Linked DNA regions of Nothobranchius furzeri. The protein of the gene in region 3 purifies or fractionates together with the protein of the main gene of each other region. This does not show direct contact. Links are inferred from orthologs where the notes say so. Each region holds a gene or a part of one and is shown on either strand. Other genes may lie near its edges.

Region 1 (4,082 bases), on a different chromosome or scaffold from region 3:
CCGTAGAGAATCTGTGTGATATTGTGAAGAGAAAGTTGAGAGACACAAGACCCAACACTCTGGATGAGCTTAAGCCGCTATCGAAGCATCCTGGGCCTCCATAACACCTCAGCAGTGCCACAGGCTGGTCGCCTCCATGCCACGCTGCACTGAAGCAGTCATTTCTGCAAAAGGACTCCCGACCAAGTATTGAGTACATAACTGAACATAATTATTTGAAGTTTGACTTTTTTTGTATAAAAAACACTTTTCTTTTATGGTTCGGATAAAATATGCTAGGAGATAGGAGTTCTGGGTTTTCATGAGCTGTACGCCAAAATCATCAATATTAGAAACAATAAAAGGCTTGAACTACTTCAGTTGTGTGTAATGAATCTAATATATATGAAAGTCCAATGTTTATTAGTACATTACAGACAATAATGTACTTTATCACAATATGCTAATTTTTTAGAAGGACCTGTATAATAAAACATTTAAAAAAAAATCCTAAACTTCCAATAATATTTGAGATGTGTGTTTTATTACTGCTGATAATGATAACCCCAGCAGGAGGCTGAGGGCTGAATCAGATGCTGCTGTCACCTTAACAGAAAGCAGCAGTTACAGAAGATGAATGAATGAATTCTTTGAGATTTTAAGCGACTCCGCACGTTTCTGTTGACCATCATTACACCAGGATCAGGTGTTACTTTTTGTTTGAATTTAAACAGCTGATCTGAAAGCTTCAGATTTCCAGAGATGACCCGAGGAACTGTTGATGGGATCAACTGAACTTACATCTTCAAAATAGATGGAGATGAGGTGCATGTCGCTGGTGTTCTTGCTGTCCATACGGTACTGCTCGTACATGAGGTCGTCCCGCGAACACTCCAGCTCCATGAGCTTCCTGTGGGCCTGCAGCAGCTCCCCCTGTTCTATCAGCTGCTGGGTCTCCACCACGATCTCCGGGACTGGTGACACGACAAAAACATCAGATCAAGAGATCCACCAATACAAATGCTCAGTTCCAGTTTAAAGTCCAGCTGCTGCATTCTGGACAATGTGTGTGTGATGCAGAGATGATTTATGTAGACCAGTGGTGTGCAGTCTGGGCCAGCATCACCAGTGTAAATCTCGGCTGAAGACTCACTTGTACCGATTGGTTTTTGGACAATGACTCTTAATGTGCTTTTATTGTGTTTTACTGATTGTTCTTGTCTGTATTGTGATGTTGTTTTTTGATTGTTTTGTGCAGCACTTTGGTCGACTCACATGTCGTTTTTGAAACGTGCCTTAGAAATAAAGGTGGTATGGTACACCTACAACTTAAATGATATTTGTTCTATGAAATTTAATGGAATTACTTTCTTTTGTTTTTATTTTCTCATTTTAGGAATGTTTCTTATGGCTGCTACATGTCTGTGGATTTTCACTGTTCCATCCAATCAGATTTCATCTTCTATTGTTGCTAGGGGGGGTCTAATCAAAGCGGCTCATTTGGCTCTCCTGCGTTGTTTGGGGCTGCGGAGGTTGGGGGTGGGTGTGATTGGACCAGACTCACCAGAGAAGATGTTTTTGAGGTTCTCCACAGCAGAGGCCAGCTGACTGTGTTGAACTACAGCATCCTTGACATCTTTTAGGTTCTCGATAGTGTTGATGCTTTGTCTCCAGTCTTTGCTCACATCAGCCAGTGAACTCTGGATGTCCTTGACATCCAGCAGGGCACTGTGCAGCTGGGTCAGTCCTGTTCGAACGCCGTCCAGCTGAGACTGGATTGCTGCCTGGAGGACATCACACACAATCCCTAAACTTGTCACTCACTTGCTTCCTGACTGCAGCACATGATTAAGTAGAACAACACCTCTGAACACAGTAAATACTGGTTCTCCAGAGCACATCAAGCCCCGCCCCCTCCATCTCAACAGCACCTGTCTGTGGACTGGTTACCTTCAGCCTGGCTTCCACGGAGGCCTTCTTACGGGCTTCTCTCCTCCGGTACTGCTCCACTTTATCCAGCTGGTCTGACCTCTGCAGCATCCCAGCAACACGCTGCACTGCAGTGGCTACAGCCTCCCGACTCGTCTCTTCCATGTTGTCCTTAAGCTGGACCAGCTCTGTGGGACTAGCTCTGGGGACTCAATGAGAGTCCTCCTGAAATAGGAGAGAACAGCACATCACTCGGGCTGATGGAAGGGACAGTGGACACAGCAGTCTAACAGCGGGGACAGTGGACACAGCAGTCTAACAGCGGGGACAGTGGACACAGCAGTCTAACAGCGGGGACAGTGGACACAGCAGTCTAACAGCGGGGACAGTGGACACAGCAGTCTAACAGCTGGGACAGTGGACACAATGGTGGACACAAAGGTTTTTGCTGAGGACCAAGATAGCCAGCAGCGACCGGAGCTTTAGGGTCCCTTCTGGATGTGTTAGCTACCACCTTCAGGACCAACATCAGCTTGGAAAACACTTCCATAGAACGCATTCGGTACCGGAACCATAGCAGTTCCTCTCGGTTGTCATTAGCACCGCTATGCTAACCACGGACGGTGAAATGTTTAGGATATTTCGGGTTTATTAAAACAAAACGTCATTAACAATCGAGACAAACTCCTACCTTTAGACGTTCAGGAAAGAACGACGAGACAACAGATACAATTAAAGTTCAAAATCGATAAAGCTAGACAGCCGTTTTGATGTTTACGTTCCACTTCCTGCTTTTGGCTCCGCCCACCAAGGGCTAGATTCTTCTTCTTCTTCTATCGTTTTATGGCGGTTAACAAGCAACTTTTAGGTTTATTACCGCCACCTACCGACCTGAAGTGTGGACTCCTCCACATTTCCCTGACGTCCAACTGGCACCCCCCCTTCCCAGCTGTGGTCCCACCAGACTTTCCCATATCCCCGACACCTCACCGGCACGTGCTCAACTTTGTCCCTGCAACGGTCACACCTCCAAGGGCCAGATTCTCCTTCTCCTTCTCGTTTAACGGCAGCCACCTCCATTGCCTGAAGGTAAATAGCGCCATCTAGCAGTCGGTGTCCTGTATGAGACGTCCATCACCGCCCCGAGGACACATCCTCTACATGACCCAACAAAAGTAACTGGGAAGACAGCAAAACAATAACAGAATAGCTTTGGACCAGGATTTCACCTTAATAGGTGGCATACATTAATTACTATGTTTTATTTTTAACAGTTTGATTCCGGGGTGCTTGTTTTCAACCTTTCTTTGTTTTTCTTGTAAAACCAAGTTTAATCCTTTATTAAACATGTATCCCTATTTTTAATAGTCGTTTCAATGATTGGATGAAATTTCTTCTCTAATATTTCCTTCACCATTTTGTCCACTTATTTTCCCACAATAACTATCCATTTCATCCTACACTGTTTTTTTTTTTTTTTTTTTGCAGCCTGACACACTCAGCATCATGAAACGACAGGAGGAGGAGGAGGAGGTGAGAGGTCACAGGAGGGCAATATTTCAAATATCATAGCTGGTGAAACTGGAAAAATAAGACTATGGTGTAAAAGTCTCTTTATTTCAGTAATCCATTTTAGACTGAGAGGCAATCTAAAGGCTCTCTGCAGGGGTTCTGGATTCAACAGCTGATTAGAGCGTGACACTTTGAGTCTAGAATATCGAACCTTTTCACAACATTCTGATTGATTGAGATTTTAAATGTGGGGCTTTCATAAGTCATTATCACAGTTGTAGGTTTGAAATATCTTGGTTTGCATGATGGGGAAACGTACGCGGATCAGGAGGGTGAGTAACTAAAAGGTCCACTAGTGACAAACGGGACATTCCACAGAAGATTCCCCAGGGTTGATGGGAGTTGTGATGGTCTGAGTCTGACGTCCAGGCCCTTTGTAGTCCAGAGGTTTCAGAGGAGGTCCGTCAGACTTTCTGGAGCGAATAAAATAATAGAACCACAGAAATGAAGGAATTTAAACAAAAATCATCTTCATTTTTAACCGCAGTTTATTTTCTTCTTGGCCGTCAAGGCCACTAGCCTTGTGTTCTTGTTTTTTCCTTTGTCAGCTTATCTACAGGTTGTGTTGCAGAGGTTGTTAACAGTGTTACTTCTCCTCCTGC
Region 2 (4,206 bases), on a different chromosome or scaffold from region 3:
AATAATGGAATTATATTTTGTAATGATACATGTGTGAAATCTTTGAAATAAAAATGAACTGAACTGTAAATGAACACTCTAAACATGAAAAATCCATCCATCTCTTTTCTGTCAGCGTTTGGTTTAAAAAATGAAGTGCCTAAAAAAAGCTGTTTCAAAAATCCCCCAATTGTGATGTCACAAACAGGGAAAGTAGATTAGAACTACCCCTCATGTGCAAGAGAGAACTGCTGCTGCAGGACCAGTGGCTTACCCCTACTGCACACTGGAAGCATCTGTGGCACGGAGCAGCAGCAGAAAGACTTACTTGCAACAACTGCTGCACTCCAGAGCATACCGGGAGAGTATCAGCTGCAAAGCGGCTTCTCTGCTGTGCTCCTCGCTCAACCAGCGGAATCACAAAATCCCTCGAGACTTCCACCATCCTCCTTGCTTAACTCGCGAGATCACAAAATCCCTCAAGTTTATGTCGTCCGCCATTAAACCAAAAAGAAGGAAATCACGTTTGTTGACATATATGATGTTGTTCCTCTCAACTGCCAGGACAAAAGCCATAAAAAACACACAGCTGCACTTCTGGAATGATGCAGGGAGTAAATAAGCCGCTGGGTCGCTTGTATTGATGTAATCTACATAAATGTGAAGTCGCATCGCTGCAATATACATTTATTTTGAAAATTACTGGGGTTTTACACTGAAATCGTGTGTGATTTCCTGTCTAGCACTACATTAATTGTTGCATCCCGGAAGCGGCTCGCGGCAAAAATAGAACACGATCCCATCTTTAGCGGTGCGGTGTGCCACTTCTGAGATGCATCTGAAAATGGCCGAGTCGCGGCTGGTTTGAATCACCCCCATAGATTTGAATGGGTTTTATTTGAAGCAGTGACGCTCTGCTGCTCTTCTGCAGTGCTGATGCTTCCATTGAGCAGTAGGGGTTACTCTGATCCTTTCCTGGATATCGAAGCTTCTCAGCTAATAGCAGCCTGAGTGAGTGGGATGGGTGGGCGTGGCCAATTACAGCTTGTTTTCCTAAAGCAACGTAATGGCTCACTCTGGAAGATACTAAAACTGTCAAGAATAAAACTACTGAAATCACTTAACGTAAGAGGGATTTGGTGCAAAAAAACTTCATAAACATATTTGGTATCAACCAAAGAACTGTTATAATTTAAGAAAAAAAGTTATGTTCCCTTTAAAGTTATCTTGATCAACAGTTTCTCAGGAGTTCTGAAGGTCATACTCTATTTTTGATTTGGACTTTCGGCTGTTTTTTTCCACCACCAGAATAAATTATTTTAGCACCAATGAGAGGATTCAGTCAAATGTGTCCTAGTAGCAGGACAAACAGATTCAGGATGAGATCGTACCACTGTGTTGAGCTCAGGGCTGTCAGGGTGGTTGTCCTGAAAGTATTCCACAGCTTTCTGGATCTTTGCGATACAAGCGAGATACTCGTCCAGTCTGCCTGCAGGTCTGAGACACAACAAGCGCACGCACGCACACGCACACACACGTTATGACTCAATACCAGTAGCAGAACCATTTAATGTTTCCAGAGACAGTCCTCACCCCTCTCGAATGATCCTGTCAGTGTCTTTGGCCACGTGGTAATAACTAATGACGTGATCCATGCAGGAAAGAGTTTTGTCCACATTGTCCTGCAGTCGCTGCAGGTTCTCTGTCTGCTTGTGGACCGGGATGATGGAGTTCTCCAGCTGCATTAGGCGGCTCTCAAACGATGACAGGATGGAAACCTTTCAGGATGAGAAAGAAAATAACAAAAGGTTCAAAACACTGAGAATATAAATATAGGGCTTCTAGTTCGGTTCAGACAAAAGAAAACTTGTGTTTAGAACAAAATCCCTTTAAATCATTGGAACCTAACAGATAGTTTGTGCTTTTATTGAAAAAAAAAGTCATAGATTCATGTATAATAAAATTAGAAATCGAGTTTAGATTACAACCATAAATACTTATATATAATATATAATAAACTCTTAGCAGTGTCCCACATGAACGGAAACAATTGTCTTAGTTTAGTCAAAGTGGGCTTCAGATAAATAAAATACAAAATAATAAAAAGGTTTCAACAGACAAAAAACTAACAATTTACGATTAAATAGCAGTTTCAAATAAACAACATCCATTGAAACATTTCAGACACATGTAAAGTCACTATTTTCAACTTTCAATCTTAAATGTTTATCTTTTTTTATGTTTTCTGCTTTAATTTTTAAACGGGATTTTATTTGATTGGTCGCTTTAATAACTGTATATTAAACGAAACGTGTCCCTTGAAACCTAGACTGACCTTTGACCTTATAATTTTTTATTGGTAACTTTTGAAACGTTTGTTCGTTAGGTGACCCGGATGTTGTGTTGTTTTCTTACCATGCCTTTGGTCAGCTGATCGCTCTTCTCCAGGTTCTCTCGGATGAATGACAGCGTCTCCTGCTCCTGTAACATCCCACAGAAAATCAACAGCTCACCACAAACAGTCTGAAAACACTAAGAACGATCAGAGTTTGCTCTCAGCTGGTGTCTGGACTCTGTTATTGTTCGTTTTAAGCACCGAATTGGGCAGAATAAAGCCCCTTCCTGTCCATCGGAGTCTGACCTGCTTCAGTTTCTCCTCAATCTCCCGCTTCCTGGCGGACGCGTCCTCAGTAGGAATCATCCTGAAGTTAGTTCCCGTCAAAGGGCTGTCTCCAAGGAGGAATGAGCGATTACAGACCTGTTTAGGTCATTAAAAAAAACTAGCAAAAGCCACAGTTCCTAAAAGCTAAAGGTAGCAATCACAAACTAGGTTGGACAGCCCCAACAGCCGTAACTTCCGGCTGTCATTTCAGAATAAATCAACACTTGGAGATCAGATCGGAAAATGCATTTTACTGAGCATTTGACATCAAATATTGACTCTAGATCTAAATATCTGTGTCTATTTATATCAGATAAAACTCCGGGGTACACTACATAGAAAGGTTTCGGCAGGGGAGCACTTAGCTTTCATCCGATATTTTTAAAGCCTTGAGCTATTAAATGTAAAACTGAACATTAGAAATTTGAGTATGTTTAATGGTGTTAAGGTTTCGCAATTTGTTTGTAGTTTAATTTGTTTACTTGTAAACATCATAAATGTTTGAGTTTATTTTGAAGGCATGTTTAGAAAGTATCCGGTGAGGCGTGTTAGTCTTTTCCGGTATCTGAATTGAATTTAAACCACGATACTTGAATTAGGAAACATGTCTTTACACTAATTATTAACAGCAAATCATTTAGAGCGAGTCCAGCAAATAAAAGTATAACCGTTTTAATGAAACTGCAGTGAACGAGTTGTCGACCTCCAGTGGAGTAATAACGGAACTTCACTTTGATTCTAAATATTAGCCTATTTATTTCAATTAAATTGTGTTTGTTTTTATTCTTTTTGGTATATTATTATGAAAGTGGAAGAGTAGAAAAACAACCGAGAACTACATTCATAACATTACATTATCTTATTTGCTACTCCTGTAAAATTTCCAAATAAAAACCTATAGCTGGGATATTCAATTCCGGGTCTGGAGGGCCGGTATCCAGCATGTTTTAGTAATTTCTCTGCTCCAACACACTTGATTCAGAGATTGCATCACCTGTGCAGCAGTTCATCAGGCTATGCAGAAGCCTGCTAATCACCTGCTGATTGAAATCAGGTGTGCTGCAGCAGTTCAAACTAAAACATGCTGGATACCAGCAATCCAGAAGCAGAATTGAATAGTCCTGAATGACATTTAGGGGTCAGCAAGAACGAAACTCACCCAAACATGCCTTTCCTTCATCTTAACACAATAAAAGTTTTTTTTATAAACACTATAGTTGTGGAGTGCTTACCCCAGCTAACTACAGCATTACAAGCTGAGGGAAATTGACTCCCTCCAGGGGAGATCATTTGGATTTACACTGGTCACAGGTGTGTTTAACATGACTAATAGGATTGTTTTGATGGGTTAATAAGAAAAACACACCATTCGCAAAAATTACAAATGTATTTGCAGACAAGAAGTTGGTTCTCATAGTTTGTATACATATTTACAAATCTGAACACACTGTTATGGATGCAAAATGTATTCATACAAACGCTCTGATTAACATTTTACAATTACATAAACTAGTTCTAGGAAATGAAAACAAACTGAAGATAGATTCATGAGGCTCCAGCACAAA
Region 3 (3,649 bases):
GCTAGATGTTAGACGTCACAAGTTAACAAAGACACTCGTGTGCTCTGCAGTGGCGCAGCTGTTTGGACCAACCTTTGGAAAACCAAGTCTTGCTTTTGTTTTCTGAGACAAAAGCTAATATAGGCTCCTATGACTCTGCCAAGACTAAAGCTTAACCAAGGCTGCTATTCAGATAATAAATAGATCTGACATAAAACGTCTGGTGCAAAGGGAAGAGGAGCATTATTGAAAGATAAAACATCAAATACAGCTTCAACACTTGGGAGGCATTTATGATTTTGTTTAAATATGTTGTGGGAAGGCTGTACATGACAAGCTCTGTTTAACCCTTTCATCATAAATATTCTATACATAAATTAGAGACAAAAAGAAATGATCCTGCAGAAAACTATCAGTCAGACGCCGACATTACCTCCATCACAGAGGTGTGCTTCACAGCAGGACTCTTACCAAACTTTCCCTTTGCTTCTTTGGAGGTACCCGCCATCTTTATCTTAGCAACCTCAAAGAAGTCTTTGATTTCTCGCTCATACAGTCTGCTCATGTAGTCGACGTAGGTCTGAAAAGGAGAAAGGATATTTGTTCACATGTACGACGTAAACACACACACAATACCAGCTGGACAGCACAAAGTAGCTGCCATTATTCAACAGAGATCAGCCGATTTGAGTTTCTATGATGTCAATACCGATGTCGAACTACAGAGGTCATAGTCAGCTGTCGGGTGACGTTTTTAGGCCAACTTTTATGGTAAATATCGAGATGTTTCGAGATTCAAGAAGCTTTTATTATTGAACCGGCGTCCCAGCACCACAAGATAACAGCTTCAGATCCCCACCTTATCTGGATGCTAAAACGTCACCACCATCAGTGCTCGAAACCCACATTTAATCAACTGCTGAATCTTAGTTTGTTTGCACTGTTTAGTATTTACATCAATAAACTGAGCACATGTTACATTTAAAGTGAGTAAATAAAAAATGTCTGTAAAAAATAATGTTACGAAGCATTTGTAGGCAGATGTTTTCATTTAAAGGGCCATATCATGGAAAATCCACTTCTTGGAACTTTTTAGAATGTGATATTTTTGTTTCTTAATGAAAAATACCTCTCGTTTTTCACGGAATAATCAATAAAACTAAAATATAAAAACTGCTTAATAAATTACTGCCGACACCGCCGGGATTCAAACCCACGTCAGCACACGAGCTGCCAGGCAGACCTCTGAACTACCGTAGCCAACGCGGCAAGAGACTCGTCTGTAGGCCCTTTGGTCAGAGTAGGCGTGGGCGGAGTTTCACTGAAACATGTTTTATTTGCTGGTTTAAATTCACACTGATGGAAATAACTCGTATTTAAAATAAGTGACACCTCAGTAGTGCCAACAGTAATCTTTTATCATGAACTGAGCCTACCTTTGCTCTCAGAGGTTTAAAATAGCACGATATGGAACCTTTAATAACATTTAGCAGCAGCACCGGGCTGCCTGTGCACGTCCGTTATAAAATCAGCTCTCCTAAAGAGGTATATGGACTAATGTAAGATATAAAAATGGTAAACACTGGCCTGATGCTTTGGCTCACTGGTATATCATCTCTATTTTCAAACATTTGCATATTTAACCACTAGGAAAGCAGTAAGATGTTTTTGGCAGACGTCATATACATTTGCCACAGATTTTCCTTCTTAAAATAAATATTTTTAAAAACTACCAGACTGACCCTGGACAGGCCTTCGTACTTCTCCCTGTGGGTGTTCTTCAGCCACTCCATGAGCTTGGCGTAGCGCAGCAGGTCCCTGTGGAGGGGGCTGTGTTTGGGCAGGGTGAGTTCAGCTGCATGCTGAGGTAAGGTGGAGCTCTGATCATGACCCTTCAGAAAAACAAGCGTTAGGGTCAGAAGAACAACACGTTATAGGAGTGTAAAATCCATTTTCATCCAGAAATGCACACACTCCAGCTTGCTGTTTATCACAAACTCACAGATTTTATACCTCTGAGGATTTGATGCTTCCCCTTACTCCCTCACAGGACTAGCACGTGTGTTCTTGACTTCATTTAGTACAAGACATGCACAGCCTTCTGTGATGTGAGCCATGTGAGAACGCAAACATGAAAAGCCCTCAGCTGAGTCAGCTGGTGAAGGAGACGAAGGATGGACACAGCCTCATCAGCTCCTCATCAGACAAGGGATGTTAAGAAGTTAGAAATCTACCTCATGCATTAGAAAACGCTGGAGGAAGAAGCCTCATTGAGTGAGCAGTGAGAGATCAAACAGCGAGAAGAGGCCAGGTGGGGGGTTGCTGTGAGGGTACTCACTGGAAGTGACAGACAGGAGGACCTATAATACTGAGGGATGGTCATTTTGAAATGACTGAAGTGGTTGAACTGACACAGAGACAGAGAGCAGAGTGGGATGATTCAAAGTGAGCAACAAGGAAAGTCGTGAGCGGGAGGGACACAGCTGCTAGGAAAATAACACAGGAAGCCCAGGAAGAGAGCGTCAGCTAAAAAGGAAGCTCACAAGGAGAAAAAAGAGCCAGGAGACCATAGGTCTTCATTGTTCAAGCTGATCAAAAGCTGAGTCTGATTTCTGTCCCCGTAGCTTCATAGTGCTTATTCTCTGATGTATATAAACAGAAAAAAAGCCACGTCAAACCAGATATCTGATATTTTGTGTAGCTTTGTTGTTTCTGTGTAACAAAGCTGATAAAAATGACATAAGGTCATGTGACCAGCCACAGCCAGTCATGCTACAGCAGCATTTAACATGTTGTTGCTTTTAAGTTAAGGTACAGAAAATCCACATGAAAGAAATTGTCCAGCCTGAGTAGGAACACGGTTGTAAAGGACAAGACTGAGCACTCACCTGGTGAACAAACACATTGTTAAGGTGATTGGTGAGGCGGCGAGCAAACGTGTCTCTCAGCTCAGCAAACAGAAGCTGCTGCTGCCTCACAGCCATCAGCTTTTCATGACCTGAAGGAAGTAACGTACACTTTCATTTGATTGAACACTAAAAAAAAACTACAAAGTCAATTTATTTCTGCAGAAGTTACTCAATACCTGGCCGCAGAGCCACGCTCATGCACTGCAGCAGAGCTTCAGAAGCATTGATGCAGGCCTCTATCCCTTTAGGGGAGGTGAGGTCTCCTTCCTGCAGAGCCCTGATGTGCCCCTTTGACAAATCCATGTAGTTCTACAGGAGGAGAGAGGAACCAGAGTCATCTAACAACACACTGTGACTCAGTGTCACACACACACAACTGTGTGTTATAGCGCCTCACCACTAAGAACTGGATCTCATCCAGCAGTTTGTTATTGTTGGTGTTGCTGATCTGGATGAGACGGTTGCTCTGGGAGATCTGATCCATCTGATCCTTGACGCTCTGGAGCATCTCCTCGTAGCTGCTCAGCTTTCCCTCAATGGTGTCCACCTCTGTCAGAGCTTCATCCAGCAGCTGCATCAGGATATTGACCTGCTTCTCTGATGCCATGATGGACTGGATGTTGGCCTTTAGGAAGACACAGATCCAGAGATGCCTTTTTGGTTAACTCATTAACTGCTATTGACGACTAAAGTCATCATTTTAAATCCAACCGCTCGCTGCCATCAACAACTAAAGTCATCAATTGCATTTTATTACTGGG

The links. Proteins that work in one complex are often made in the same cells at the same time.
Region 1: the proteins of exoc1 (region 3) and exoc3 purify together in Homo sapiens (affinity purification with mass spectrometry; 5 studies listed by BioGRID and IntAct, counting the BioPlex papers as one, with this or other methods). This does not show direct contact. The link is inferred for Nothobranchius furzeri from reciprocal best matches to the Homo sapiens genes EXOC1 and EXOC3.
Region 2: the proteins of exoc1 (region 3) and exoc7 purify together in Homo sapiens (affinity purification with mass spectrometry; 4 studies listed by BioGRID and IntAct, counting the BioPlex papers as one, with this or other methods). This does not show direct contact. The link is inferred for Nothobranchius furzeri from reciprocal best matches to the Homo sapiens genes EXOC1 and EXOC7.

Annotation. Positions count from the first base shown.
Region 1 is NC_091751.1:65,616,038-65,620,119, forward strand, and holds the start of exoc3 (exocyst complex component 3), read right to left. Parts: upstream 2,817-4,082; 5' UTR 2,796-2,816; intron 2,747-2,795; exon of another isoform or gene 2,600-2,746; intron 2,134-2,599; 5' UTR 2,074-2,133; coding exon 1,930-2,073; intron 1,764-1,929; coding exon 1,544-1,763; intron 954-1,543; coding exon 781-953; intron 1-780. UniProt on the Homo sapiens protein: Component of the exocyst complex involved in the docking of exocytic vesicles with fusion sites on the plasma membrane.
Region 2 is NC_091756.1:53,832,419-53,836,624, forward strand, and holds the start of exoc7 (exocyst complex component 7), read right to left. Parts: upstream 2,817-4,206; 5' UTR 2,681-2,816; coding exon 2,621-2,680; intron 2,461-2,620; coding exon 2,395-2,460; intron 1,758-2,394; coding exon 1,573-1,757; intron 1,477-1,572; coding exon 1,371-1,476; intron 1-1,370. UniProt on the Homo sapiens protein: Component of the exocyst complex involved in the docking of exocytic vesicles with fusion sites on the plasma membrane.
Region 3 is NC_091748.1:40,504,375-40,508,023, reverse strand, and holds part of exoc1 (exocyst complex component 1), read right to left. Parts: intron 3,514-3,649; coding exon 3,286-3,513; intron 3,198-3,285; coding exon 3,065-3,197; intron 2,978-3,064; coding exon 2,868-2,977; intron 1,872-2,867; coding exon 1,722-1,871; intron 560-1,721; coding exon 451-559; intron 1-450.